4 linked regions of the Arabidopsis thaliana genome follow. The protein of the gene in region 3 purifies or fractionates together with the protein of the main gene of each other region. This does not show direct contact. Each region holds a gene or a part of one and is shown on either strand. Other genes may lie near its edges. The genes, in order: PSAG, PGRL1B, LHCB4.3 and AT5G19760.

Region 1 (6,453 bases), on a different chromosome or scaffold from region 3:
GATTGTTCACTAAATCACATTTTTATGTTTTAAGTATGTTGGTGTTATTGGATTCTACTATATTGTAGCTTCTGTGGTCCCTGGCTTTCGTAGTTTTTAGTAATAAAGGTGCTTTTTGATATATGTAGGTTTATCAACTTAAGAATGTCTAATTATCAAGGGGATGATGCTGAGTACATGGAAGATGTGGATGATGAAATGGATGAGGATGATTTAGATGAGGATTTTCGTGGGGATGATATGGCTGCCTCTGATTCCGATGTCGATGAGTTTGACTACTCTGTAAGTATTCCTGTGTGAAGTCTAATGTAAATTTGCTAAGCTATTTTTAAAATTCCTGTGTCAAATGTATAGCTTTAATGTCAATTAATAATTTCTGCAGTCTCTTACTCTGTTGTGTGGGTTCTTTGGTTTCAGAATAATAAAATAGCTGACACTTCAGCTGACCAAGCCCGGAAAGGGAAAGACATCCAGGGGATTCCTTGGGACAGGCTTAGTATTACGAGAGAGACATACAGACAAACTAGACTAGAACAGTATAAAAATTATGAAAATGTCCCTAACTCTGGGGAATCTTCAGGGAAAGTAAGTCTTCCATTCTCTATGTCTCGTAGGTTTTCTTTTTCTTCTATATGTTTCACTAATATTGGGTTTCAACTGATACTTATCATTTGCTTAATGAATTCAGGATTGCATGGCCACACAGAAAGGGGCTCTTTTTTATGATTTCTGGCGGAATACAAGATCTATCAAATCAAGTATTCTTCATTTCCAGGTTCATATTATTTAAACATATCTATTTTCTATTGAGTCAATGTTTTTTTGGTAATTCCATCAGTATGTCATGTGTTTGGGTAATGAGGGTGCACAAATTGCTACAACTGTCTACCTAAGTTAAAGCTTAAAAGATATGGATTCATAGACTATTTTTATGCGGACATCTAACTAAAGTTGTTTTCTTTTTATTGTAGTTGAGGAATTTGGTTTGGGCAACTTCTAAGCACGATGTCTACCTTATGTCACAATATTTGGTGAGCCACTATTCTACTTTGACATCCGGAAAGCATGATGTTCTCAATGTTCAAGGTCATGTTTCCCCATCTGAGGTTAGTTTCTTCCTGAATGATATAAGATTCCTCTATAAATACCTACATCAGTTTAATGGTTGTTGTCTTTTTCTTGTGTGGGTGCAGAAACATCCTGGAAGTTTGTTGGAGGGATTTACAAAGACTCAAGTGAGTACACTCGCAGTGAGAGATAAATTTTTAGTTGCCGGTGGATTTCAAGGAGAACTTATATGCAAGGTAAGCTCTAGAGTTTTACAATCATGGATTTTTAGTTTTTCACACAACAATTACATGCATTCTAATCAAGGAACTTCATCTTTTTCCACATTGATTTTATTTTCAGCATCTTGATAGACCTGGTGTGAGCTTTTGTTCACGTACTACTTATGATGATAATGCTATAACCAATGCTATTGAGATTTATAACAAACCCAGGTATTTGCATGTCTTTTGCTTGAGGTTGTATTTGCCAACTTGTCTCTTCTAACTGATTTTTTGATGTCTGTCTGTCTGCAGTGGGGCACTTCATTTTACTGCGTCGAATAATGATTGTGGAGTCAGAGATTTTGATATGGAGAGATACCAGCTTGTTAACCAGTTTCGCTTTCCATGGCCGGTGAATGTAAGTCCCTACTTTTTCCTTGATTTTTTTTTTGTTTTTGTTTTGGTATAAGTTGATCTGTAGTGCTTGTAGCAGTAAGTTTCAGTTACAAATACGTTTTGTAATCTGATATCTTCTTTTACATTACGAAATTGTAAATGTAATTGCACCCCAAATTATTTAACGAAAGGGGGTTTTTGTATTGATAGCACACATCTTTAAGTCCTGATGGTAAATTGTTGACGATTGTGGGAGACAACCCTGAAAGCCTTCTGGTAGACCCCAACACTGGAAAGGTACAGAAACGATCTCTGTGTTACGTATCCCTGAATAAATATGCTTTCTAACTAAATTTGGAATTTTCTACAGACACTGGCAACGCTATCAGGACATCTGGACTTTTCCTTTGCATCAGCATGGCACCCAGATGGATTCACGTTCTCCACAGGTAACCAGGACAAGACCTGCCGGGTTTGGGACATTCGTAACCTGTCAAAATCTGTTGCTGTCTTGAGGGGTAACCTTGGAGCAATCCGATCCATTCGCTACACATCTGATGGGAAGTACATGGCCATGGCTGAGCCGGCTGACTTTGTCCATGTGTATGATGTCTCAAACGGGTATGAAACGGAGCAAGAGATCGACTTCTTTGGGGAGATCTCGGGAATATCATTTAGCCCCGACACAGAAGCACTCTTCATAGGCGTTTGGGACCGCACTTACGGAAGTCTAATTGAGTATAGCCGGCGCCACAACTACTCCTACCTTGATTCATTTCTATGATCACCCGACATACCAGAGGAATAAAAGAGCCGATACATATGTGCTGCTGCACTCTCCTGTCGCTCTGTTAAACTAAGAAACCCGAGAAAAGAGAAAACATAAACTCAAGTCGATCTCTAATGGTGTAAATGATGTGTTGTGCAAGTACTAGTAGGAATGTTGTCACAGAGAGCGGATTTAGTTAGTTAATGTTCATTTCTTGTATGAGTGTTGGAGTTCGTGTATTGTACATAAGTATATGAGGTTCGGGTGAGTTTGCATCAAGTCTCAACTCTTGGCAAAGAGACAACTTTACTCGAGTCTGTGGCTCGTTATTTGGCTATGGTCACTTGTAGAGGAACTCAATTTGAGATGTTTCTGCCGATTGTTGGATCAAATTATATATCATGATGTTTCATAATATTTCTGTTTCCTAGACTATTAAAGTGTATCAATGGTAAGTTTCTCTCTCTCTTCTCTCTTTAATATCTTTTAGAGAAAGCTAAACTTTCCGATCAAACCTTTGCCTTCTGGTTTGATTCGAAGGCTCATGTTCCTCACATAGTGGGCTCGTGTCTGGCATCTCTGACTACTTTAGCGGAGTTGGCTAGCTTTCTTCTGACAGCGATGGCTTCCTTAGCGTCGTCTTGGTCGGCACCACTCCGGAAGCAGTAGCTTACATAGTATCGTCTTGACCGGATTTCGGGTTTGTCTCCGCCGTTGTTATGTTTTTCTTCCAGTTGTTTATTTACTTACAATAAATTTTATTAGGGATGTGTTGATAATATCGATTGAAGCGAATTATCGCTTAATGAAGTGTATTATTCGATGCTTTTACTTTTGAGTTTGCAATTACAGGAATTGATTCATAGCTTTTCAATGAATTATGGACTCTTATTGGCTTTGATCAATTTTTGTAAAATCTGTGCCGCTGTGTTTTTGGAATTCGGGAATCAATTGTCTTTTGGAAGATCCTTTCTTTGCAAATTTGATGATGATGTTTGTTGGGATTCTCTAATTAAAAACCGATGGACTTCTGTGTTTAAAGTTCTAGCTGTTTCCGGTGGCTTTGGAGTTTTCCGGTTGTTGCTGAACAGATCGGCGATGAACGGTGACGAAGAATCATCTATCCACGTCTTCAACTTTATTTGTTAGCATTCCACGTGGCTTTGCAGTCGGGAATTATTTAGCTTACTTCCTTAAAGGATTATGTTTCTCGATTGGGCTTTTCTCGTTGGGCCTATGGTTATAAGTTTGTTGGTTTTAGTTTCATATGTATCAAGACCTGTAATATTGAGTTTTTACAACACAAGTTATAAATAAAATACAAACACTTTATGAGAAAAAAGACTATTAAAGTGTAGATTATGGACTAAATCTTTTAAAAAAAAGATAGTAGGTTCTTCAAAGTGTATCCTACTAAATTACAAGGGTTTGAACGCAAATATTTCTTTGAAAATCTCATAATCCAGAAAGAACCAACGAGAGAATGCCACATCATCCATCCGTAATCGTATCCTCACAAACAAAATCTTCTTCTGCTTCTTCTCCTGCTTGCCAGAATCCAAAACCAAACCTTCAGATCATAAATCCAAAACCACTCATTTTTCTATTACTGAAATTTTTCTTAGAGAAGAAGAAGAAGAAGCAAAATGGCCACAAGCGCATCAGCTTTGCTCTCACCAACCACATTCTCCACTGCAATCTCCCACAAAAACCCTAACTCCATCTCATTCCATGGCCTTCGTCCCCTCCGTCTAGGTGGCTCCTCCTCCGCCCTACCCAAACTATCAACCACCGGGAGAAAATCCTCCTCCGCTGTCGTGAGAGCTGAGCTAAGCCCTTCCATCGTCATAAGTCTCAGCACAGGTCTCTCCCTCTTCCTCGGCCGTTTCGTCTTCTTCAACTTCCAGAGAGAGAACGTAGCAAAACAGGGCTTACCGGAGCAGAACGGAAAAACCCATTTCGAAGCTGGAGATGATCGTGCTAAGGAGTACGTCAGTCTCTTGAAATCGAACGATCCAATTGGATTCAACATTGTTGATGTTCTTGCTTGGGGTTCTATTGGACACATCGTTGCTTACTACATCTTGGCTACTTCCAGCAATGGATACGACCCAAGCTTCTTTGGATGATTCGTTTCAATGTCAATCTCTCGTATATGTATATGTATATGTTTGACTTGTGTTGCAAGCTATCTAATCTGTTCTCTATCTCTGTTTCTTCTTCTGTTGTTGTTGTTGTTGTCTAAGACTTGTCCCTCTTTTTGCAAATGTTTTATTTCTCCATTTACAAAGATTGGTTTGCAGAGTTTTATAAGAAGAACATAATAGTATATACACTATGGAAACAGAGAGATGAAATCACATTTTTACTTGCGCTCAAGATTTCGATTTAGTTTGAGCTAATGTTCGTATGAAAAACTTAGGTGATTTGGTGAAGCTAGTTTCATACCTAAGAGAGAGTCTAGATGTAAGATCTCAGAAAGATAAAGCCAATGTCTCAACAAAAACAGTATGCTCAAAGATAAAGTATACAAAAAGAAAACCAAAAACAAAGACATAAACCTTAAGTTTAGATCAAGTTACGGCTGCAAATAAAAAACCATTGTAATAAAGGAGGGTAGTGTCTATGGAAATGAAAGTTTGAATCCTTATGATTCACATCCTCAATGGAAGAAGACTTGGCATGTTTCTGGACCTTGAAAAGAAAGTGACAACTCCTCGATCATCTCATCTCTTGTTTCTTGAGCATATGTTGTCGGAAAAAAGATTGTCGCAGACTTTAAGCAGCGAGCATTTTTCAAGATATATTTAGCTACATCCATCTGGTTCTGCAGCAATCCATGCATCTCACTCCAACGGAACGTTTCGAGACTGGACAACAAACATGTAGGAACACAATTCAGCTGATTGTCCCACTGATTTGGTAGATCCGTACGCCCATTTGGATGATCCTGTGATCAAACATGAGAAGTTTGGCTTAAACATTATAGTTAATTGAACCAAGAGTATAGGTCTCTAAGGAACAAACTTACTTCTATCACGTAAGCCTCGAGCTCTCGTAAATTGGGAGAGCTTTTGAGTAATCGGGCAAGTAAAATTGACCAATCTGAATCACATGAACATATCTTCAATTGTTCAAGCTGGTTGAAGACAAGACCCTCATGATATAAAGACTGCATAAGATGACAAAAGATTCAACTTCAAGAAAACCTGGTTTATTGTTCAACAATGAGATGGATAGAGTGATGGAAACAGATTACCTCTTCGGTGTAGACTCCCAAGCATAACGAAAGACGCTTAACAGATGTGATTGATCCAAAGAACTTTTTGATATTTTGGAATGTCAATACAAAATCTGCCTCCTCCAACTTAGGCATATCTTCAAAATCGTAGAAGTATCGAGGACTATCACTGTCACTCTCATCATCACTATCACTCTCTAGCCTTTCATCAATGACTTTCAAATACTTCAAAGAAGGAGAATTCATCTTAAGCCCATCAAGATGACAAGGACGAGACATCTTTAGGGTTAGTCTCTGCAAGGACTTGACAATCACACTCAATTTCCCCAAATTGTCAATTTTATCTCGTTCCATAACTAGATCCTCAAGAACAGGGCAGTTGGAAAGAAGTCGGTGAAGAGAATTTGCATCCGAGTAAGTCACACGTCCAAGGAACAATGTTTTCAGGGAGGGGAGACATACCTTACGAGGAACATCAACGAGAATCTCGTCTTTCAGTTTCAAGATCACAATCGATTTGCATTTACATAAGCTTTTGGGCAATTTAGTTGGAAGCTCCGCAAAATTAAAAAGCTTTAGACTTAACTCACGGACGTTGCTAACATGAACTGCAAGTGAAACCCAGAGATAAATATCTTTAGGTTTAATTGATCCAATTGCTCCATACCTAAACTTGAGACTCAAGCTTTCAATAGCCGGAGCTTTATGTACTCGCAGACTCGAAGTAATAAATCTAGCCAACCCCTGGCCTTCAGACACTGAATAATGCCTAAAAT
Region 2 (8,603 bases), on a different chromosome or scaffold from region 3:
GAGTAGTCGAAGACGATGAAGTTTTTTTAACTAATCATAAATCTGTATTATATAATAAAATTAATTAAAATTTTAAATTAAAGCGGCTTACAATATTTTCAATAACTCATTTGGAAAACAGTTAACTCCACATATTATGTCACCTAAATAATGAAGATCTTAGAAGTTACAATCCAACACAAAAAAAAAAAAAAAAAAAAAAAAGAAAAAAAAACAGAGTTGAATTAACACTAAAAATTGAAAACATCTTATCAAGAAGGAAGATACCTAATTTAAGTATGTTGTTACTTGTTACTTATACCTAGTATTTTCAAATCTTGGAATCGTTCTTGATCTCGAAGCATTAGGATTAGCTCTAACATGACCCACCATTGAAACCTGAAGTGCTTCTTCTTCATAAGCTCTCCTCTCCATCTCCTCTCTCATCGCTTTCTTCTTCCCTTTCACTACCATCGCCACCACCAATAACCCTAACAGAAACGCTCCAATTATTGAACCTATCACACTCCCAACCGCCACTTTCCACCGGCTCAATTTCCCTCCGCCACCGTCAGTCAAAGCCGGAGATGACGACGGTGTTACCACCGTACTACCGCCACCGCCACTATCATGAGCTCTAATCACAAGCGCGTAATGCCCTTGTCTTGTTCCCAAGCAAACATAAGCTGAAACTTGCTCTCTAAACGTTATGTTACCGTTACTTGTGAAGCAAGCACACAAGACAGATGAGTTCTTCTTCGTGTTAGGTTTAGGGCTACCACTTGCCTCACTGCTTAAGAATTTGATCAAAATAGGGTTTTGTTCCGTGCCCATTACGTTAACCTCATAAGGATTCACAGCAACACCGTCCGGATTTGAATTGTAAGCCAATAAACCAAGAACAGGAGACACAAGCCGGTATTTGTAACCGGTTAAGTTATAACCGGTTGAGTAAATATAAGAAGACCAGTTAAACCCCAAGTTCTGTCTCACCAGGATCACTCTCTCAACACATGGCTCCACGGTCAAGCCCGGACCTAAGTGAAACTCTCCAATTCTTGCACCGTGTCTTCTCAAACTCCCACATCTAAACTTAGCTGTGGCGATATCAATGGAGGAGAAATTCGAAGGAAGATGGACTTTCTGGATAGCACCTGTCTTGAAATGTATGTTGAAGTTTCTAATGGTGTAATCTCTGATCATAAGATCAAGAAAATGTGCTGATTCAATGGTCTGAGATTTGGATTTATGTACATGAAAAAGAAGGATGATGAAGATAAATGGTATAGAGCCCATGTGAAGAGGACCCAATGATTCTAAGATGAATGAAGAAGTAGTTAGGTTTTGCAGAGAGAAGTGATCAAGAAGAAAGAGAGAGAGAAGTATATTGATTGTGTTTTACTTTGTTGGCATGTGTTTTGGGGACAGACATGATCAGTATATAGTATATACTATGTATCTTTTATTAATCCTTAAGACATAATAATGAATAAGCATGACCGATGTTTTATAATGCTTAGAATACTATCCTACTTTCTTCTAGCCTCGTGACATTTTACTTTATACACACTTTGTAGTCTTGTAAATTGCTTATATTCTTTCGATCCTAAAATGATACATTTAGAAATGTCTAAACGGTGAGAAAAAAAAGGAAGGTAAATGATGATATAGAGGGCATGGGACGACGACGATGTCATCATCATCATTGCACCTTTTTCTTATTAAAAAGATAGAATTTGGCATGCTATAATATTTGTATGACTTTTTCCTTTGTAATAATCCTTAACTCTTATTACATGTTCCCCACTTTTATCTATCTATCAGCTTCTTAATAGAAATCATACTAAAATGAACTATAGAATCACAAAAGTCAAAAAGTCTTGGACTGGCCTTGACTAGCACCTATAAATGATTTAGAACATCATATTTGATTTTCACATGGATTAACGAAACTATATTATGGAACACATTCAAAATTATAACAACAAAAAAAATACAAGTATTATTTCAAAACTACACAAGGTTGTGCTTATTTCTTGAATTATTTTACTTTCCTAATGAGAGCAAAGTTTCTCAAAGAAGTAATCATATGATGTTTTTCTTTGAATGTGCCTCACACTTACTTACAAACACAACACAAGCCAATGAGAGCTACATGAAAAGATCTGAAGATTATACAAAACAGCATACAAACTTTGGTTTTTCTCCTTCTTCTTCAATTTCTCCACCTTCTTCATTTGTTAGTATTAATTTTACATACACTTCTACATAACCCTGAGAAAAAGAAAACCCTAAAATTTTGAATTTTCCATTGAATCAAGAAAGATTTCATCAGAAATCAAAGTTGAGATAAGAATTAAACCTTGGCTCTTAGATTTAAGCTTTCCCTCCTTCTGGTAATGTGATCAAACGAGAACCTGAGTCATAGACCATCTCCGTTCCACAGCTAAAAACCAGAAGAATCATAAGACTTCAAGAAACGTTGTAGACAATTTGTGTGATCGATTCGAGTCTACAGCTGAGAAGCTTACCCTGAGCATTTGACATTGTTGGTGTTACTATCATTGGGGATGGATAGTATCGTTCCAAAGAAAGATACATTCTCTGTTCCACAGTTTGGGCAAGGGCCCTGTGAAAGATATGTTCCACGAAAATTAAAAGCATTTCATAATAATCGCATAAAACTCGTAGGATTTGGCACTATACCAATCCAAATTTGTAGCGTTTAGCACAAAATAGATTATTATCTCAAGTCTAATCTCTTGTTTAAGCATTTTTGATACTGAGAAAACAAGATTTAGTTCTATAACTTTTATTTTTCCACTTCATGAACTGATCTTGGAAGATGATTAATGTTTTTACCTTCAAGATCAAGAAGTCTTTGAGGATCAGTTTGGTGAGTGATAACGCCAGATATACAATTGCAGGCACCGCAGCGAACCATGTGAAAATGAAACTGAATGGTTCCGGAAGCTGCAGATTTTTGTTTTTGTTTTTTAATCAGTTGCATGAATACTGGAACAATTACTACGAGTATATATTCTCCAAACCATAGTAGAATAGTCGAAAGAGGTTTTACCTCGAGCAGGTACGTGATTTCAAAACCAGTAATGTCATCAAGAAAGAAAAATCTGGAGAACAATTGAAGAAAACAACAATTTTAAACTAACTAACATAAGCTAAGATCATGTGATTTGAAAGTTGAGAGAGGAACAGAACCGGAGGTACTCACAGTCCGAGAGCAACAACAGTTGCTGGTACATTCAACAAGAACATTTTGAAGTAATCAATGGCAAGATCACTATAAACCTGCATAATCAAGGAGGTCCACAAGTCTATAACATCTCTAGAGTTTGTCCCAAACAATGAATCTAATGTTATGTTCTGTAATGTCCAAAGAATATATGAGCTATCCGAACAATTAAGAGTTTTTACCTTTTTACTACGAAGACTGCATCTTGGACCCTCACACACAATCTCACTGCCGTCCATCTACAGAAACCAAAGAAACAATCATAACGTTTGTCCAAATTACACATGTAACAAGATGGATGAAACTAAGAAATAGTATTTGTAAGTATAAATAGATTAAGAACCTTTAGTTTCATTTTGAGCTTATCATACTCTTCATCACTCAAGATTGGATTTCCAGAGACATAAGCCATTGAAGCTTCAAGGAATCTTTGTTCATCAGAACCTACAATACATAGATAAAATTAGATCAAGAATCAAGAACCTAGGCGAATGGATTATTGACAAAACTATAAATCATAAGTGTTCATTACTTAGCATGACAACACTGCTTCCTTCCCACATCAACTCTTCTTTAAGGTTATCAAACTCTTCATTAGACATAATCGCTTTGCCTTCGTAATAAAACGACTGCAAAAGAAAAGAAACAGAAACAATCCTCGATTATATAGAGATAAACCCATACTAATGATAAAAACACTTTATTTGATGTGTTACTTGCATCGCTTGGAGGAACTCTTGTTCCATTTCACCGATAGTTCTCTTCTCATTCTTGTTGATGCTACAATAAGGTAAAATCTTGCTATCAACTTCTTCCCCACCCACCTGACCTGAAGACAAGTCATAAAAATGATTTTAAGAAGTAAGGAAACTCTCAAGGAGCAATCTTTTAGTGGATTAGAGTATAAAAACTAAAAATCCACAGAGGAAAAAAGTTCCATATAACAACTTTTCTTAACTAGAATTAAAGCTTGAGTGATTTTATTCTATGATTGAATAAAATCAAAACTTTCTCAAAAGCCACTGTGTTCCCAAACAATGATCAGAGACAAAATCAAAGCTACAATACAACAGCTTTTCTCAACTAAATTTGAAGATTGAGTGCTTTTTTGTTTCGATCACATAACGATGAGTTAATAACTTAAGAACCTTAAGCTACACACAAATTTTAATCCTAAAAAGGCTACAAATTGGAAATCATTTATCTAATTATCTTCTATGATCATAAAAATCTCAACTTTTCACACCAATTTCGTTCCCAAAGAAAGATCAGAGGCAAAAACAAATAAAAAAATCGAAACTTTAAAGAGGCAAATAAAAATCGAGACCTGATTGATCAGTAGAAGCTTTAAGGGGCAATAAGGTAAGTCTTCGTCTGAGAGAAATCGATCGTCCATGGGTAAAGGGAGCAGGACACTGTGTCCTCGAAGAAGAACAAGTGATGGGTTTGCGAGAAATTGCAGAAAATCTAGGGATTGTTAGAGTAAAAGCCATCGTCTTTATCCCTCACGCCGATGATTGAGTGAGATCGTTGTTTTCTCTTGTCCGGGACGAAGAACAAAAAAAAAAGTTAGAAGCTTTGGATTTGTGTGGTTGAGAATTGAGATGGTGATGTTTTTTACTGTGTGAGATAGTTTCAGGTTCCTTCTGATTTTTTTGTTTTGTTTTGTTTCAACGTGTAATTGGAGGGAAAATTAGGAGGAGATAAGCGAAGTTGGATCGTCTAGCGTTCCACGTCATGATTTTGAAAAAAATAAGAATAAAATCTTGAATTTTGGTAAATTACCAAAAACAAATATTGTATTATAATATTTAGATATTATTAGTCACAAATAAAATGAATTCTTTATATAATTTTTTTTACGTAGAATTGAAATAAACGAAAAAAAAAAACTCTAACTCAAATCATAACAAAAATATGTACAATCATTTTTAGTTTATTATTTTATCATCTCAACGGACAACGGTAAAGAAAAATAAGGGTTTTGATTTGTGGGAGTCAAGATAGTAAACTCATTATAATAGATAAATTGTACATATGCATCATCATGTGGTGAATCACCTATTGGTATAAATAATTAAGAAACCATAAACATATTTCATGATATTGCACGAAAGCAAAACCAACAAACACATTGTACTCTTTTGAAAACATATTTTGTATGTAAGACTTAATTTATTTATAAGTTCTCTTAAGGAACTAATTGCGATAAAAAAATTTGAATTTTAATAATTTATAAGAGAATTTTGTTGTAATATATATATATATATATATATATATATATATATATGTTTGAAAAAATGAAAAAGAATCTTGAGTTTTAGTAATTTGCAAGAAAAAGTTGTAATATAATATTTATTAGTCAACAAAAAAATATTTATTTACAAACAATTATGAATCGGACTTGTGACTCAAACCATAGACAAAAACAATCATTGTGATGCTGGTTGTCCATAAGTTAAAACACAATGAATCTATCATGAAATAAATTGTCATTGGTGGTTTGTAAACCACTAACAAATCGATAGAAAATGTTTATAACATTGTCGGATATGCTCTCATTAGATATTATAAATGAAAATTGTGGATAGTTGTACTTCACAAAGCCACTACATCCGGGGTCATTTCATCATTTACTCAAGAAGATGTTTTTATCTTCGGAAACCAGACACTTCGAAGATAAAGACTTGAGAGAGGCGTATTATGATGTATGGTTCGCTGGTTTAATGTTGGTTTAATATTTGGTTAACTTTGATTAAGTGAGCTTAAGTTCAAATATATATAAGCTTAATGATACACAGTTCTAACTAACGCTTGTAACAATATTTTGTTGAGATAAATAAAGTTTGTTAGCTTTTTTGTTCAATCTTCTCTCTACTTTTCGATACACGGGTGTCCCATGTAAATAACCAAATAAATTTTTAAGTTTATAATGCACAAATAATTCACAAAATTTATGTCATAGAATTACTTTGAATCGAAAAAAATATATATATGAAAGTTGGTTAACTCTCTCCATATGAATGTCACATTATCATACAAGAAAATTACATGTGTTTTTATATTATTCAATAAAAATTTTAGCAAAATTAAGTTAAGAAAATCAAAAGTCCTCCACATCATTAAATCTTCCATCAATACTATTAACTTATTTCTTCAAAAAAATTGAAAAATACAAAATCATGCTAATGTATAACTCAATTATAATTACAACTATTATATCAATATATCTTATATTGTTATTCTATGTATTTATGATAGCAAAAAAAAGATTAAGATCTTATGTATATAGATAATTATATTACACATGAAAAATATATACTTGATATTTTACGTCAAAAGATGAATCAAAGCATAAAAATTGTAACTATATAAGATGAATCTAAATATTTATGTAACTACACAAACTAGCAACAAAGAACATACAACATATTTTTAACAATTTTCAAAACAACAACTCATGCATAGCATGATTATTCATCTACTAACATTAATAGTTTGTCAGAATAGACTAACATTTTTTTTTTACTTTAAATGGACTAATCAACATAAATCTCCCCAAATCTTGGATGTACTCGATGAATTTGAGATTTTATTTGGTGAACTAACCAAATATAAAATGCTTTTATATCTTTTTTTATCTTTTAATTTGGTTAGAGTTTACTTTGAACTCTTTGCTTTTCTATTTTATTTTCAAAGTTTTTTTTCTCCTATCTTGGTTAATTATTATTTTTGTTTCTATAATATAATAAAACCAAATGAATTGTGGACTGAGTATTATACAACCCCTTCAATATGTACTATTTTGATTGGATAGCTTAAATTTTCAAAGATTTTAAGTTTTTAGGCACCCAAAGTATATATTTTGTTTAGTACAAATTTAACTTCTCAACTAGTTTTTAAATAAAGTCATATTAGGTATTTGGTAATTGATCGTATGTGAGTGGGCCTAATAATGAAGTAGGCCTCGACGTCAAAAGAAATTTGAAGGTAGCCCATTTATCTTTACTTAACAATACACCACCAGCGGTTCACTTAACCCTTTAACAGCCAAATCCTGTACCGTTAGATTATATCACTAATCGCATCTTGTCCGTTCAATTTTCATCTTTCCTCACCTACACGTAACCCTACCATTGTCAGAGCCCAAGTCCAGAGAGAGAGAGAGACGAAGAAGAAGAAGAAGAAACAAAATAAGAATACAAAACACAGAGAAGAAGCGAACAGAGAAAGATTAGGGCTTTCTTGGATTTTTAAATAGAATTTTCTTCTTCACTTGTGTTCTTTCTCATTCGTTATCCCAAAAGCTTTTGATAATCCAAGGTTCGTTTTTTTCTTCTACTGGTAACTGTACTGTTCTATGTTGTTCATATTCTCACACTGTAATTTGTTGGCTGTTCAATGGGTTCTGTTTGGTTATGGGGCACAGTCAATAGAGGAAGAAATGGGTTTCAGAATTTAATTTGATACTAGTTCTTTTGAATTGTTATGCTTTATGACATTCTGTTTGGTTATGGGGAAGAAGAAATAGAGAAAGAGTTAGGTTTTCTACTGAATTGTTTTGATTAGGTGAAGAAAATTACTTTATGTCATTTCGATTATAAATAGTATCTCTCTGGTTAGTGTTGAACTTTCGAAGTTAGTTTCATGGATACTAGTTTATCATTGTAGTAGACTAATGAGTAATGATCACTAACTACTTCTTGTTAGTATGCTAATTGATTTGGTAAAATGCTTACTAACTACACTAGTTTATCATTGGAGTGTAGATAATTTGAACATGTAAAGTGAGATTTTTTCTGGTTATGTTTATAGTTGCACTCTGATTTGAGTCAATACATGTTTTATTCTTGTTTTTTAAATGGCTTAGTGTGACTTCTGTTTGTGGTGGTGATTGATATTTTATTGCTTTTGATTGATATTCATTTTTCTCCTTTTGCTGTCAAGTTTTATCGTTTTAATTGAGTGTTGTTGTTCTTGTGTGTTAATATAGGTTTTAAAGAGGCATGTCTTCTGATACTGCTAAGGAAAATGCTTCTGTTGTCGATTCGTCTTTGACTGATTGGAAACAAGATTTAGGAAACTCTGATGATCCAGGTAAACTTTGAAGCATGTTTTGTTATTCACTTTTTTTTTTTACATGGAGATTTGCGTTTTATTTTGTCTGTCTCTTGTTGTAATTTTGTCAGAGAGTACAAGTTACAGAAGCAAGGAAGACCATAAACTGTCAAAGGTGGATGTTGATCGACGTAACTTTCCTGATCAACTTGAAAGTGCAAAGGCGAATAAGAATAGTAAACCAGGGTATCGAACGAGATATTTCATCATCAAAAGTCTGAATTATGATAATATTCAAGTTTCAGTTGAGAAA
Region 3 (7,138 bases):
ATCAAAACTTGATAGGGTCGAATTTGGTGTTGTTCTGCAGTTAAGCAAGAAAATGTGGATGGGGAAGGTATAACGTCTTTTCTTCAATTATTCACTTTTTTCTCCAGAAAAGTGGAACAACGTGTACTCTTCGCCAATTGCATTTTCTATATTCATGTTTATTTTATTGCTTTCTTACACTTTCTTTATTCCTTTGTCTATTCATTTCAAGATTTTCTTCAATTTCTAATTTTCTTTCATTGCTACAATTGTTGTAAAAGCAACAAATAGTATCTACATGTATAATGAGATCAGATAAACAGAATATTTAGTTATTAGTAGTAATCATGCAAAATTAAACCATAATAACCATATATTTTCTTACTTAAGCTCAAACTAACAATAGTTTCTCCCTTCTGTTATTTAGTAATCAAGAAAATATCATATCTTAACTCTACTTTTTGGCTCCAATATCGTATCTTATCTTTTATCAAAAATAAGATAATACTAGTATGGTCTTAAGAATACGACAGAAGGATTTGATTATTCAAAAAAAAGCAATACAAGCCATTATTGGATGGTCAAGTATATCGAATTTCGATATGATAATCTTTTTTATAAAAATGTTGAATATTCACGGTATATTAGTTTAGAACATAAACAATAAATACTTCGATATTTATTTCCGTAAGCCACTAGACCAACATTTAGAGGCCGGTTTTGAACGATTGATGTGACAACCAAATTTCCAACGATAGTACGACACGAAACAATAAAAGACTTCTTTATAAGTATAGCGTAACATGCATTATACAGTTTTTGAAGTATAATTTTATTTTGATAAAATAAAGATAGAAAGGTTCATTAACTAATTGTTAAAGGTGGCAAGGAAGCTGACAGGGCCTTTGCCGGTAAAGGCCGCCTGAAGAGCAAAGATGAGAAATGCGACCATAGCGAGACGAGAGTGCTTTATCTCAGCCAGCTTCAAAGTATCCAACTTCTCTGGATCAGCCGCGAGTCCCAACGGGTCAAAATACCCACCCGGGTAAATCCGTTTCTCTGGATCCAGTTCAGAGTTACGTTGGAACTCAATGTATCCGACCACTAACACTTCTATCCATATCAACGTCGTCAACGAGAACGGCAATGGTTGTCCCAAATACGATGATCCTTCCACCAATTCCACCTAGGCGAACCAAACCGAAATGCATAAATTCAAAATCGAATTCATGTTTTATAATAACTCGAATAGCAAAGCAATTTTTTATCTCATAAACCAAACTAAACTCAATTTTACGAATCCAACCGAATAAAAAATTAAAATCATTGGAAAATTTAACACTTTCAGTTAAATGCATTGAAACAAACTAAAACATATAGTACTAACTAAAATTAATTTTTCTCTTTATTTTTCTCATATTTGTTAAATCCAAAAATCAAAAGAACTCGAAATACCAGACTCCAAATAATCTGAACAAAACTCCAAAACCAAAAGCCTAAACCTATTTCCATTTTAGTGGTTAAAATTTGCATGCATGTTTTTTTGGCTTGATTCCACCTATGCCTCATTTTTTTTTAATTTAACAAATGCTAATTTAGTTTCAACTAATGACGAGACTGTCCACGTGTCAAATTACGTTAGCGGCGACTGTATGAGTGTACCTTTCCGGCGTCTTGCCATGCAATTCCTGTAAGAGCCTCTACGGCGATGGCGCCTAGAGTGCCAAGCATGGCCCACCTTCCATGGATCAGCTCACATTCTCTGAACCGTTGGATCCCAAAGACTTCAGTGTACGGCTGAAACGGCGTCGGTTTGATCTCCGAAGATTCTTGGATGATCCCGATGATGTCACCCGCCACGTTCTTGGCAAGGTTTTGGTCAAGTCCATCGAAATCGTACTGAAGATACTCAGCCGGTTTACCTAAACCAAACGGATCAAATCCACGGTCTCCGATCATCGATCCGTCCAACCATTCCGGCGGGTTTGCGCCGGGGAACCAAACTAGTCTGTCTCCATCGTCTTGGACCTGCCTTGATTTCTTTGGCGGTGGAGCCGGTTTCTTTTTTCCGAAACTGAACCCGAACCGGGCTTGGACCCTACCGGTTCCAGGTCTAGGATCTTGAATCCGGATCCCAAAAATACCTGAGGCTGCTGCTGCAGTGGTGGTAGCCATATTGAGTTGGTGTGATACTGCTTAGAGACTGATGATTCCAATGTTATAACATATAGTTTTTTTGGATTTTAGAATAATAGTAACGTTATGTTATATGTGATGGTAAATGTAAGAAGCCTTATCTTAGCGTTATCTCCTGTGATTGGTCTCTCTCTTTACCTTTTTTCTTTTGTGGCCTGGCTACTTTCTAATGACGTTGCACTCTCTCTTTCGTCCTTATGGTAGGTGTCTGCATTTAAGGTATTTTCTTTCTTTTGTTTTCTTTCGTTTTTAAGGATTTCTTTTGTCGATTTCACAAAAGAGAAAATATTTTGGTCCCAGTTGAAGTTCTGTCCCCCTAAAGCCCATTTATAGAAGCCCATTAATCGACTACAAAATGCCTCTTAAATCGTGTTTCCGATATTGTCTAGTAGTAAGTCCAGCATTTAGTTTGGTCTACAACTTTGGCTTGGTATATTTTAGGCCAATACTTTGGTTTTGGTTTGTGTTTAGTACTTTATCATATAACTGGAACTAAAATGCCTCTCAGCTTTCAAATTGGTGTTTGGTTTGAGTAAATCAAACCGAATTGGTGTCTATTTCTCCCTATACTTGGTAAGGTTTGTTTAGACATCCTCACAGTCTTAAGTTATTTACACGAAAAGATAGGAAGTTAGAGTTTGCAATAGACAAAGACTCTCTTATAAGATTGTTAAATAGATTGAGATATCTTTGATTAATGCAAATATCTAGAATGTAAGTTAAGATAAATAGATAATGATCGTAAAAAGGTTGCTTTACGATTCTATTAGAGATTTTGGTGACGTATAAAGAAATCCACGCGGACGTATCACATACTATGTGCTTATGCTTACAAATTACAATTACAAAACATATATTAAAACCACAAAGAAATACAAACATAAACATATATACAAAACGGAGAGACAGCCTTGGGCTTCTTTTCTCATTGAGGAACTCTGGATTATTTACAAATCGCCCTAACTAATATAATGTTAAAGCTAACAACTGCCAGTTCATCTGAAATGTCTCATTTAAAAAAGCATAGGTTATATAATTAATCTCCATTCCTTTTGCTTTGGATCCTTCTGTTAAAGAAAAAAAAAAGACAAATAAACAAACATTATCAGCAAAAGGGTTCTCAACTTTGTAACGTCCATAATGTCACTTCCCAATTAATAATATTATAGAAATCATTTCTATTCAAAAAAAGAAGAAGAATAACAAATACGTAAGCAAGAACATTGGAAGAGGATGAGATTAGGTTGGTTTACCTGAAACTTAAAAGCGAAGGAGTTGATGGGTCAACGCCGAAAGGCAGAAGGAGAAGTTACATTTATACGCCGTATGTTTTTATATATTAGTTTTATTTACATGTTGAGGTATGTGTATATATTTACAAGTATTGATTCTCTTGGAAATACGTCTCTATTTGAGTCTCTCTTGTTGTAATAAGATCTTTTGGTATCTCGGGTACACGTTTTTACAAGCCGAAACCTGAAAAATGGATCAATCAAAACACATTAGTTTTCCCATTGGTGATAATAACTATAACGAAGAAAGAGGTTTGATGGTTTTGCCTCCATGAAAACAATCATGAAGCATGCATGCGTGAGGTGTGACGTGTCATGTCGGATATTATCTTATTATAAAATGACTAAGAAAATTAGGTTACATGCCACACGGTTTCCACATGAAATTCTAACCTACAAAACAAAACTATAACTCTATAAGAAAGTTTTCCAATCCAAACTTCAATTTTGTTTTCTCTTAGTTTCATTTGAAAACCTTCTCACCAAGTAGAGTCTTTTCCTAACCAAACATATCGGAAAGACAAATCTCATCGAGTTTCTAGAATCACAAAAGGACCAAATGTGTAAAAATGTGTTTAATATTCAACATTGACTAATATACATTCACATGCTATCTCTGACTCTGACCCATTGCAGGTTAAAAATCTAATTCATTCCTAGATTTGAAAAAAAGTAAATGCAACTTGGTATTATTGGCCCTACATCGATTATCAATCAAATATAATAAAATAATAAATTTCTGTAACGGCGGAAAAAAAGAAGATGGAGAAGTGGACTTACGGCTTCAATGTCGATTTTGAAGACGAGAAGCTTTTTTCTTTCTCTACAACTTGTTCGATAAGCCACAACGATGTGACCTATGGCTAAGACTGACGAGCATAGAAACAGAGCCACTTCCGCCGCTCTGAAGTAGTTTCCTCCTCCGTCTCCGATCGCTGGCTCACCGAACACAAACGCAGCTTTTAACGAAACGTAGATTAGAGAAGATATTGAACAAATCATTGTTATTGTCAGATACGGTCCTCTCGATAGTTTTGGTCCGTCACAGAGTCCATAAACACCTGTTTACACGAAAAATCAAACTAAAGAAATGAGTTTTCGATTTCTTCAGAAACAGAGCAAACAGAGCAATTGCTCTGTTTTTTTTTTGGGTTTTGTAAAGTTTGAATCTTTTTTTTACTCACAGAGTATAACAGCGGATCTAATGATTGAGATTAAAGGAATATCGATGAGGGAGTGACGGAAATCGTAGTTGGTGAGATGAGAAGAGAGAGTCGCCGGCGAAGAGAAGCGGTGGAGGAGAGCGGAAGGGAGGAGAGCATCGGCGACGGCGAGGAAGATAGGAGCAGAGACAAGGAGAAAAGAGAAGAACATTGTGAACAAAACGAATATAGTTTTGATTCCTCTCCATAGAGATGACCAAAGCTTTCTGGTTTTACTAATCTCTTCTTTGCTAAAACCCATCGAATCAGAGAGGATTTGTTTAAGAGAGAAGATGTTTCGGAGACTTTAGAGAGGGTTTTTAAAAGGTGGACGAGACAAAGTGACGATGACGGCGATGATGATGCTAAGATAAATACTAAGGGATTAATTTATACTATTATGATTTTTCCTTGTTGGACTTGGAATATTTATATGAATATAGAATTTTGGATTAGTTTGGTAATTTTTATCTGTCTATATCTTTTTACCTATGGATTTCTTCTATATAATATAATTATTAAATTTTATTCTTTCTATAAAAATCTTTTGAATATTTCTTTTCTATAAATGTTTTCGTTGTTGATTTAATTTTCTTGTATGTAAATCATGTTTGATTAATTTTTAAAAGAATCGTAAGATGAATGAAAGTCAATTCATTCGTCGATCTATCCTAATTTTTTTATTGATATTGACGATTGATACAGATCCACAATTTATATGTTATGAAATTACATCCTCATACATAATTTTGATGAATATAGGATTTGTGGGTTAGTTAATTATTTTCCACTTTCTATTTATAAATTTCAGTTGTTTCTTTATATGCTGAGTAATAATACTTAAAAACATCAAAAGAAAGCTTTTTCGTAAATATTGTTGAGGTAAAACTTCCAAAACATTGCTTCCTAAATACTTTTTAGTAAGCAAAGTTTTTTGGTAGATGCTCTGATCTTCCATCATCTGAATCTCCTAAATGTCTCGTTAATAGATAAAACGCTCTCAACCCTCTTAAAATTAAGGATACATGTAATGTTAATCATAATCACACAAAAATGAGGCTATTCATATTTGAATTTTTATTTGTATTACTTTCTTAATAATTTTTTTTGTAAAATTATTTATTTCTCTCATTCACACTAAAATAAAATAAAAATTAGCCAACTGAAAAATCTTAAATAGTAATTGGAAACTGAAACATTCTAGAAAAAAAAATGTTGAGAGAAACTTCCAGCTCTTTGAATCCTTTGACTGGTGTATTAAATTAAAACAAAATAGTGTTCGGAGTCTTCAGATTTCAGCCTCCGTGTAATAACGGTAAAACCTAAATAACGTGAAGCATAAACAAAACTCGATAATTGGAACATTTTTTCTTTCTTTCTTGATTTCATTTGTATATAATATATAATGGATTGGAATATTTTAAAATCATCACAATATATGTTTATCGTTTTATTAAATTGTTACTAGTAAAATAATGTTAGACCCATCCTCTCCCGCCGAAGAAATGAACCGAGACTCGTTTATTCGTTAACACAAACATATACGGGAATGGAGGAACCGACCGATTTCAGCCATGTGACCACATGCATGCCGTTTGTTACCCTAACTTATATCTTACGGTGTTATTTTTTTTTATTTTTTTTTTGTTTCATTGTACTAAAAGAAACAGTGAACTATCGTATCCAATTTTTTTAATAACTATTTTGTGTTTGATTGTGATCTTTCATTGTTTTCTCGTCTAATGCTACCAAATATAAAGATAGGAAATGATTGCCTTTTCTTATCAAACTTTTCAAAACATTCGATAGGAATTTAATTTACTTGTTTGTTATAAAGAAAGCATTGCCAAGTTATTACACAAACAAACTAATAAAAAAGTCGTAACTCTTTACTTTGTACGCGTATATCTTTGCGTGAGTGTATGTACTAGTCAATTGTTGATCATTTACAATTTGTCTCGTAAATGGAATGATATATGTATATATTGACTGTTAAGCAAAACCTTAGGAAATTTCGGAAATCAGGATATGTTCTAATAGAATTTTTCCAAACTTATTTCGTTTTTGTTGTTTTCCAGCTGAACATTCTAAATTAGATTTAGTGACAGATTATTCTTACCTGGAATATATAATTACAAATTGTCACCAAACTCCGATGATGAGAATTAATTAACCGAACAACAAATATGTGTCTCTTTGCTTGTTTTGTTTCTTGTGATAGCAACGGTCAGATTTGCATATCAATAATTAGAGTAGGACCATCCAAAATAAAGAGGGAGGAGCTGAAAGTCAAGAGTTTATAGGCCTACGAAACTGACCGGAAGTTGAAGAAACTTCTCAAGTCAAGAGTCAAGACATATCAGCTCACCAAAAACATGCACTCGTCGCTTATAAAGCTTTCTCCTTTGATTATACTCCACCAAAATAGTGGCACAATTATAAACCTAAAACCTCACAAAAATATTTTAC
Region 4 (8,419 bases), on a different chromosome or scaffold from region 3:
GCACTTTTGAACCTCGTTGGAGATTTGATCTGTCAGGTAACTCTCTCATTTTTGTGCTATCTTTGAAGTTTGGATTCTTCACTATTCAGGATATATCGAGATAAAACAGTATTCATGAGCTGCTGCATTATGTATTTCTGAACAGACAGACTTTAACTTGAATTGTGCTATCTCTTTTTTAAAGTTAGAATGGAAGCTAATAGACCCAAAATACAGGATAATGTAGTAAAGCCCCATTTTCTTTATAATGCTTGATCGTATTCTGCTAGATATGTGAGCGACATTGCTTATTCGTATCACTTTTGGTTGCAGCTTACTATCAACAAGACCTCATCGCTGGACAAGAAGAGGACACTCACCTTTACCTTCTTGGGCTTAGGGCTAGTCGGTCCAACATTGCATTTCTGGTATTTCCGTGGACCTTTCACTCGTATGACACCGCAAAAGCTAACTATATTACGTCTCTGCTAGTGGTTCTTCAGTTGAAGAGACTTATGCATCCATTGGTATATTACTTATGCTTATTCTCTGTTCTCTGAAATCTCTCAACTCCATCCATTAGGTATTTGTATTTGAGCAAAGTGGTGACAGCTTCTGGATTATCAGGCGCAGTTATACGACTTCTACTGGATCAGGTAGCAAAGTTTCCTGTTCCCAGTCTAACAATTATGTTCCCATCTTGCTTCCTCTGTGTTAGCACTTAACACCAAAATTTGTATTTGCAGTTTGTTTTTGCTCCTATTTTTGTTGGAGTTTTCTTATCAGCAGTTGTGACACTTGAAGGAAAACCATCAAATGTCATACCGAAGCTACAACAGGTTGGATTAAAACCTAACTAAACTTAATATTTCCGGTGCAGGAATCTAAATTTGATACTTTGTATCTTTTGCGGTGTTCTAATTGAATCCATGAATTGCTGGTTGTATAGGAGTGGACTGGTGCAATGATAGCAAATTGGCAGCTATGGATACCATTTCAGTTTCTTAACTTCAGATTTGTTCCACAGAACTACCAGGTTTGATACTAAACTCTGTGACTACATGAAACGGGAGTCTGAAAAAAAATACAATTGGGTTAAGATAGATATGCTTCATACATAACGAATAACGACCCACACGCTGTTAATCCTCTGCTTAGTATAATCTTTGAGAATTTATTACGCATTTTCATGTTTTTGAGCCCTTGTTAAAAACATCTTTGACATGATGAGCTTGAGATGAATTACGCTTGAATGACATTAGCTTCTAGCTAGTATGCTTAGCAAGATTTTCTTTGGCTTTGAGGATGAATCGATGTCTTATATATGAATTATTGCAGGTACTTGCTTCAAACGTAGTGGCTTTGGCTTGGAATGTGATTTTATCATTCAAAGCTCACAAAGAAGTTGTTGCAAAGTAGACATGTTTCTTACCTGGAGCCTAGAGGTGGTTGCTGGATTGTTATCGGCAGAGTTTTGGGGAAACGGTCTTGTCTGCTGATGCAAATGTTTGGTGTTTCGAAACAATTATTTGGGAACCCTGCACTTGACATTTTCTTAGAGTTGAAACAAGCTTTTCTTCAAGCACTTCAAATATTTCCCCATCATCAATGTTTCATATATTTATTGTTTCCTCATTCAGAGAATTTTTTTAGTTCGTATGAAAATTTTGAAATCTCTGGCTATGTGTCTTAAACTTCCACCAAAGAAGAAAATTTAAAATTCACCGGACCAATCACCGACCGAAACAAAAAATTAAAGTTCAAACAGCTACAATAATATGCTTTTAAGGCAGGTTATGTATATGATTAAAAAGCAAATGAACACAATTCCAATTGTGTTTTCGTTCTTCTCATCTTATTTTTTTGCTGCTGTATTTGTTCCTCACATACCAATCTTCTTTTGAAATTTCGTAATCTGGTTTAGGAAGATCCATGTCATCTGCCAAAAGAAAACCCGATCAACAACTATCTTAGAGGCAATCACGAAGTGGTAATTACAATAACATAAACAAAAAAGGGAGATAAGAGCTATTATACCATGACGTGAGGGGCAATCCTGACACAGTAAACTGGGAAACCCGAGTAAAATTTCAGAGGTCCTCCTTCTTTTAAGGTTTTCATCGCACAATCGAGCGAACCTGTGTATGGATACTTTCCTTGAGCATCCGGTTGCATTTTCTGAATCTGAGTTTTGACAAAGTCAAATGGCAGACTGCAAGCCGCAGCGCAGAACCCAGAAACAGCACTTGCTCCTGTTAAAGTAAACAAAAACCAAACTCAGAGATCTATTTTAACTACAATTTATCATACAGAGATTACATGACCATATGAAAATACTGATAAAGGTTTCTTGTTAAGTCTAGTGCAGAACTAGTGTAACAAGCCTAGGAAGTTGAGAAAAGTGTAGTTTTGCCAACTGAGCGACCTTACAATTAGTAGCTCTTAAAAGGGAGTAAGGACAACGCAATGGGATCCATTCTGGATTGGTCTTAGATCTGGGTTTGGGCAACGGTTGAGAGTTTAGAGAGTCCTCTCATTAATAAAGTATTTTCCTTGGTGTAGTTCTTGGATAGATTGTATTAAGTGAAATACACATTTAATTTATGACAATCTAACACTCGTGTAATCAGGAGATTATATGCTACAAATGTAAATTTCCAAGACGATTGATTCTTAGGATCCTTGACTCTAACTGCTATCTACCTGCTCACAGAAAAAATATATTCTTACTGTATGAGAAACTTGGAAGAGCAGCTTACCTACGACCGTAGACATCTCCCCGAAACCAAGATTATCTCTCATGTATTCAGCACTTTGATCATAAGATGCAAGCATTCCCATGTTCAAAGCCATAGCTCTGACCACAGTGGGCCCACACCCTTTCCAAAGTGCTAAAACTCCCTCATCAGCGCTAATACGGGTAAGCGCATGGAAAGCATTGGTATAATTCCTGCGCTGAGCTAGCGGCAAAGTATTATCGGCCTGCATTCTGATAAGTGCTAGATCGGCTGGACTACCGACGCAAGCACCAATAGCACCAGCTGTCAGACCACATAGTGCCTTCTGATACAGCGGTAGAGGCTTTCCATCATTAGACTCAATTGCCTTTGCAGTCAGCAACCTAATAAGATTGACAGAAGAGAGGATGATTTATCCATAACCATAAGGCAATAAAAATCTATTCATCTGGATGGGCTCAAGACGAAAGACGAATGACTAACTTACTTGAATGATCCAAGACGGGCTGTCGTGTAAGTTGCTTGCCTCAGCAACCCAGCAGATAATCCCTATTAAAAAAAATTAACATCAAATAAGCTCAGGAGACATCTTCAATGGGGTATAACTAATGTTGTTGTTGGAAAGACTGTTAGATAAGGAAATTAATTCTTTGAATAGCTGAGACTCAGATCCGGAAATGCAGAAATCATATACATTACAAATCAACAAAAGTCATGAACATATCAATAGAAAACATACTACACAAAACGTACATCTTCAAGATAAGTAATGCATCCAGAAATGCAATTTATACCTTGTAGAAGGCACCAACGCCCTCATTCTTAAGCATGTTGGTGGTTATACTGGCTGCAGATCCCTGACCAAGTTGAATCCTCACCTTCACCAACCAGAAACAAAACAAAGTATTAGTTAATTACATTCACATCATTTAAAAATCCTATGAACACAGGCGAAGAATCACACATTGTGATGAACCTAAGAACGTTATTCTAATCAAAATCCAGATCTGAACTAGAACATTTCATCTAAACATGTATCAATAGCAACAATTCACACTCAAACGAGTCTGACTATGTTCCGAGCAATGAAATTTGATTATAATAAGCCAAAACAAAAACTCAGATCTGAGAGATAAAATCTACAGACTCGGATCTGATGAACAACATTTACGGATTTCGTAGGTATCAATACCAGCAAATCAAGCAAGAATTGTTAATACTAACGAGCTTAGACATAGAGATGGGTGATACAGAAACGTGTATCCGTAAACATTTGACAGACCTTAATCATGTCGATCGGCTGGATAACGCAAGTAGCGAGCATACCAGAGGCACCGCCATTGACGAAGGGCTTCACGGTAGTCCAGACACTGATTGGAGCTTTCTTCTCTTCCGCCATCTCTCTCTTTTCTTTTGTTTTCGTACGGACTCAAACGCAACCAGAAGAAGAGATTCCTTCCGCGGAGAAAAAGAGAGAGAGAAAGAGATTCACTTGGTGGAGAGGAGACGATGAAGTGTGAAGCTTATGGGCCTTTTATATTAACACCACCCAACTGAAACTAAATTGCACCAAACCCTTGCCTTTTTAATTTTTATTTTTTTCCATTTGCATATGAGATCTGATCTAAGCCAGACATATTTTCTAAATTTATTAATTTGGACTTTACTTTTCACCATTCGGATTTTACGCAATCCAAATATTTAGAGTTATTTATTACGCATTCATATGAATTTTAGATTTGACATTCGTCCATTTCTAATTTTCTAGTATGAAGTTGAAAATCGTTAGTATTCTGAATTTTTTGGGTCCAATAAATTCTAATTTTTTAAAAAAATTGATCTTCTGTATTTGTATTTTGTATTTGTTCAATAATTTTTGGCATTTTTCACGCCGTATTTTAGATAGTGGACCAGTGGAGCAGTATTTCTGATGCAATTTGATAATTCTGATGCCCTTTTGTGAAGATCAACGTGGTTTGTTAACATTAGTTGAATCTCATAAATGTATTATTAGCTGATACGACAACAAAGCATATACAGAACGTTGATAAACGTTAGCGCACCGATAGACGAGATTATACTTCAAGGAAAAATGGACAGTTGTAAGAAGATTATCAAAGTTTGGTACAACAAAAGCTTGATAATGAACTCGGGAACTCGCAATGGTCGCTCTACCAATGAAAATGTATCCAACCGAGATAAAACACGAAGACCGAACGAATATTTTACAGGATTTAAACAATCAACAGAATCAAAAGTGAAAACAGATAAACGAAAAAACTTTTTTTGGTTGCAGTTTTTTTGAGAAAAGGTGTCAATAGTCTTCACCTTCATCTTCTTCATCGTCTCCACCTTCAGCACCAACTTCTTCGTAATCTTTCTCCAGTGCGGCCAAGTCTTCACGTGCCTCAGAGAATTCACCTTCCTCCATTCCTTCACCAACGTACCAGTGGACAAATGCCCTCTTCGCATACATGAGATCAAACTTGTGGTCGATCCGTGAGAACACCTCTGCAACTGCTGTGTTGTTACTGATCATACATACAGCTCTCTGAACCTTAGCGAGGTCACCACCTGGAACAACTGTTGGAGGTTGGTAGTTGATTCCACATTTGAACCCAGTTGGGCACCTGCAAAACAAAACCCATGCCAAAGGAGTTATTATATAATAACAACATGAAGGTAGAAACAGTAGCAGCTTTATCCATTTCTAGATCATACCAGTCAACAAACTGAACAGTCCTCTTTGTCTTGATGGTGCCAACAGCAGCATTAACATCTTTGGGAACAACATCTCCTCGGTACATCAAACAACAGGCCATGTACTTTCCGTGTCTCGGGTCACACTTTGCCATCATGCTAGCTGGCTCAAAAACGGCATTGGTGATCTCAGGGACTGATAGCTGCTCGTGGTAAGCCTTGGCGGCTGAGATGACTGGTGCATAAGATGACAGCATGAAATGGATACGGGGATATGGGACAAGATTGGTCTGGAACTCAGTGATATCCACGTTGATGGCACCATCAAACCTCAAAGATGTTGTCAAGGATGAAATGATCTGTGATATCAACCTGTTCAAGTTTGTGTAGGTTGGCCTCTCGATATCTAGGGATCTGCGGCAAATGTCATAGATGGCTTCGTTATCCAAGAGGACAGCTACATCCGTATGTTCAAGAAGGGAATGCGTTGAGAGAACACTGTTGTAAGGTTCTACAACAGCAGTAGAAACCTGACATCACAGAGGAATATGCATTAAAACCAAGTTTCATCCAAATTAGACCACTATAGAAACATGTCATGTAAGAGTTTCTACTTCAGTGTCTAGCAAAAGAAAGAGTACCTGAGGAGAAGGGTATATGGTAAAACCAAGCTTAGACTTCTTTCCATAATCTACAGACAAACGCTCTAGCAACAGAGAACCCAATCCAGAACCAGTTCCACCACCAACAGCATTGAACACCAAAAACCCTTGTAAGCCAGTACAGTTGTCGGCAAGTTTCCTCACACGGTCAAGACATAGATCCACAATTTCCTTCCCAACTGCAATTACAAGAAGCATTCTAAGGACCATTTCAAAAACCCTAACAAGTTAGAACAAGCAGAAAGTGGATTCTCACCAGTGTAATGTCCTCTAGCGAAGTTGTTAGCAGCATCTTCTTTCCCAGAAATGAGCTGCTCTGGATGGAAAAGTTGACGGTAAGTACCAGTACGAACTTCGTCGATAACGGTAGGCTCGAGATCAACGAAGACAGCCCTAGGGACATGCTTCCCAGCACCAGTCTCGCTAAAGAAAGTATTGAACGCATCGTGTGCAACACCAACTGTAGTATCACTGCAACAACGCAAAAGACTCGTATCTCAAAAATCTTCCGATCCACAGAAACAGAGTACAAAGAGTGAATTAGGGTTTATACCTCGGCATCATTCCGTCCGGCTGGATTCCATGTTCGAGACAGTAAAGCTCCCAACACGAATTTCCGACCTGGATCCCAGCTTGTCCGATGTGAATGCTTATGATTTCTCGCATCTTCTCTCAGTAGAAACCCTAATTTCGAGCGATTCGCTTCTTCGACGGACGGAGAATTGAGGAAATGAGAGCGGTGAGCGAGATCTTCTTTTTTTCCTAATTTCCATGATTTTTGTGGGAAATTGATTATTTATTGAATGAGATTTGATAATTGGTTGGGGTCCGCCAAGTTGTGACAGCCTGCCTTTGGGACTGGGCATAGACAAAATACGTGAGATTCGATCTGGATCTAGATCTGGAAGGTGTCGATTTTTATCCGGTTTAAATAACTTACCGGAATTTAGGTATTTCGTTAGTATGAGTGAGGTAAATAATAGCTTAACCGACCTAAATCGATATTATAGGTTAAATTAGGGTTTAGTGGTTTAAATAACTATTGGTTATAGTAGGATGTTTTTGTAAGCGCCAAACAGAAAAGAAACGTCATGTAAGGTTGTCTTTGTTATAAGATTTTGATTCTCTTAGTGCATTTATTTATTAATTAACTTACATAAATATTGACTACGTAAAACGTGTTTTCAAGATTTGAAATCACAAGTTCTGAGATAACCCCGTATAATCCTTTTAATGACATAAGTAGGAGAATAAAAATTTGCAAAACTATAAATTTGTAGAATGAAAAATTGCATAATAAAACAAACAAATATATGTGTCTAAAATTAAATATACATATAATATGTATTTACATAATGAATTTTTATTTTTATTTTCTATGAAGAAAACAAAAATTCTGTATTTTTGCGTTTTAATAAATATTATGTTAATTTTCTTAATTGGTAACATTCTTATATACTCGTATTAAAAAAATGTCATTTTGCAATTACGCGTATTACTAATCGGAGCCAAATATTTTTATATTTTTCAATGAGTGGATAAAGGTACGACCAAAATGATGGTTTGATAACCAAAATGATTGTAATGATACGAAAGATAAACTCATATAAATTGATCATTCTAAGATTGTATTGGATGAATTGAGATAGTCAGCTAGATTAATTCTCTAATTGCTAAGTTAAGTTAGATGAATTGAGACAATCAGCTATATTAATTCTATATAGCATATTTTTCCTAAGCGGTTTCAGATTAAAGATGTCAAAGTGGGTTAAGCAATTGTTTAGATATAATGGATCAAGATTTCAAGATAAACGATTATCAAATCCATTGAATTCATGCATGCGGTTAGGAAGATAGCTTAAGTAGCAATTCAATCCTATAAATATAATGTTTTAAGGGAATTTTCATCCATTCAAACTAACAAAAAGACAAAAAAATGCATGATCCTAAAGCAATTGATAGTTAACCTTAAGACTAAAAAATTCCCAAAGAGAGTATACAGTAAAGTAGACAACGGTCGAGTGAAACCGTGAATCCGAAGAGAGTACATAACGGTCACAAAGTTTGCGAGTTTACAAAAATGCTAGTTGATATGATTGGAAATGGGTTGGGTTAAGGAATTGTTTGATTAAATATGTCATCAAGACAATTATTTCATATTTCCACATGACTTGGTTTGTTTATGAACACAAATAATGAATAGAGAGATATATAACTATTACATAAATAGTTATTTAAATTTTTTGCATGTAATTTATTAAAACTTCAGTTATGTATTGTGGTGGTTCTCATTCACACAATATCATGAAAATGAATAGATTTCAGACTAGGGACAAATCT

Evidence for each region.
Region 1: the proteins of LHCB4.3 (region 3) and PSAG fractionate together in Arabidopsis thaliana (co-fractionation; one large-scale study listed by BioGRID). This does not show direct contact.
Region 2: the proteins of LHCB4.3 (region 3) and PGRL1B fractionate together in Arabidopsis thaliana (co-fractionation; one large-scale study listed by BioGRID). This does not show direct contact.
Region 4: the proteins of LHCB4.3 (region 3) and AT5G19760 fractionate together in Arabidopsis thaliana (co-fractionation; one large-scale study listed by BioGRID). This does not show direct contact.

What each region holds. Positions count from the first base shown.
Region 1 is NC_003070.9:20,800,986-20,807,438, reverse strand, and holds PSAG (photosystem I subunit G), read left to right. Parts: upstream 1-3,989; 5' UTR 3,990-4,057; coding exon of another isoform or gene 4,058-4,082; coding exon 4,083-4,565; 3' UTR 4,566-4,769; downstream 4,770-6,453. Other genes in the region: AT1G55680 (Transducin/WD40 repeat-like superfamily protein), read left to right, coding at 145-282, 418-585, 689-775, 972-1,106, 1,194-1,304, 1,411-1,502, 1,584-1,689, 1,878-1,964 and 1 more; AT1G55675 (uncharacterized protein), read left to right, coding at 3,259-3,585; AT1G55673 (uncharacterized protein), read right to left, coding at 4,058-4,468; AT1G55660 (FBD, F-box and Leucine Rich Repeat domains containing protein), read right to left, coding at 5,099-5,386, 5,468-5,608, 5,696-6,453. UniProt on the Arabidopsis thaliana protein: Not yet known.
Region 2 is NC_003075.7:7,172,985-7,181,587, forward strand, and holds PGRL1B (PGR5-like B), read right to left. Parts: upstream 4,905-8,603; 5' UTR 4,726-4,904; coding exon 4,560-4,725; intron 4,190-4,559; coding exon of another isoform or gene 4,144-4,189; intron 4,062-4,143; coding exon 3,949-4,061; intron 3,862-3,948; coding exon 3,765-3,861; intron 3,677-3,764; coding exon 3,576-3,676; intron 3,472-3,575; coding exon 3,415-3,471; intron 3,289-3,414; coding exon 3,212-3,288; intron 3,111-3,211; coding exon 3,059-3,110; intron 2,953-3,058; coding exon 2,842-2,952; intron 2,609-2,841; coding exon 2,511-2,608; intron 2,426-2,510; coding exon 2,356-2,425; 3' UTR 2,342-2,355; intron 2,254-2,341; 3' UTR 1,902-2,253; downstream 1-1,901. Other genes in the region: AT4G11950 (transmembrane protein, putative (DUF1191)), read right to left, coding at 292-1,275; AT4G11970 (YTH family protein), read left to right, coding at 8,239-8,329, 8,422-8,603. UniProt on the Arabidopsis thaliana protein: Ferredoxin-plastoquinone reductase involved in cyclic electron flow (CEF) around photosystem I. The homodimer is probably not involved in CEF.
Region 3 is NC_003071.7:16,740,900-16,748,037, reverse strand, and holds LHCB4.3 (light harvesting complex photosystem II), read right to left. Parts: upstream 2,411-7,138; 5' UTR 2,155-2,410; coding exon 1,642-2,154; intron 1,538-1,641; coding exon of another isoform or gene 1,493-1,537; exon of another isoform or gene 1,411-1,492; intron 1,166-1,410; coding exon 848-1,165; 3' UTR 614-847; downstream 1-613. Other genes in the region: AT2G40095 (Alpha/beta hydrolase related protein), read right to left, coding at 3,583-3,651, 4,248-4,528, 4,652-4,931. UniProt on the Arabidopsis thaliana protein: The light-harvesting complex (LHC) functions as a light receptor, it captures and delivers excitation energy to photosystems with which it is closely associated.
Region 4 is NC_003076.8:6,677,730-6,686,148, forward strand, and holds AT5G19760 (Mitochondrial substrate carrier family protein), read right to left. Parts: upstream 4,326-8,419; 5' UTR 4,117-4,325; coding exon 4,000-4,116; intron 3,596-3,999; coding exon 3,512-3,595; intron 3,267-3,511; coding exon 3,205-3,266; intron 3,101-3,204; coding exon 2,739-3,100; intron 2,232-2,738; coding exon 2,017-2,231; intron 1,919-2,016; coding exon 1,862-1,918; 3' UTR 1,577-1,861; downstream 1-1,576. Other genes in the region: AT5G19750 (Peroxisomal membrane 22 kDa (Mpv17/PMP22) family protein), read left to right, coding at 1-36, 313-407, 563-635, 726-818, 929-1,015, 1,318-1,398; TUA3 (tubulin alpha-3), read right to left, coding at 5,032-5,347, 5,439-5,947, 6,059-6,258, 6,336-6,550, 6,633-6,745. UniProt on the Arabidopsis thaliana protein: Catalyzes the transport of dicarboxylates, such as oxoglutarate, oxaloacetate, malate, and succinate, and of tricarboxylates, such as citrate, isocitrate, cis-aconitate, and trans-aconitate by a counter-exchange mechanism across the inner mitochondrial membrane.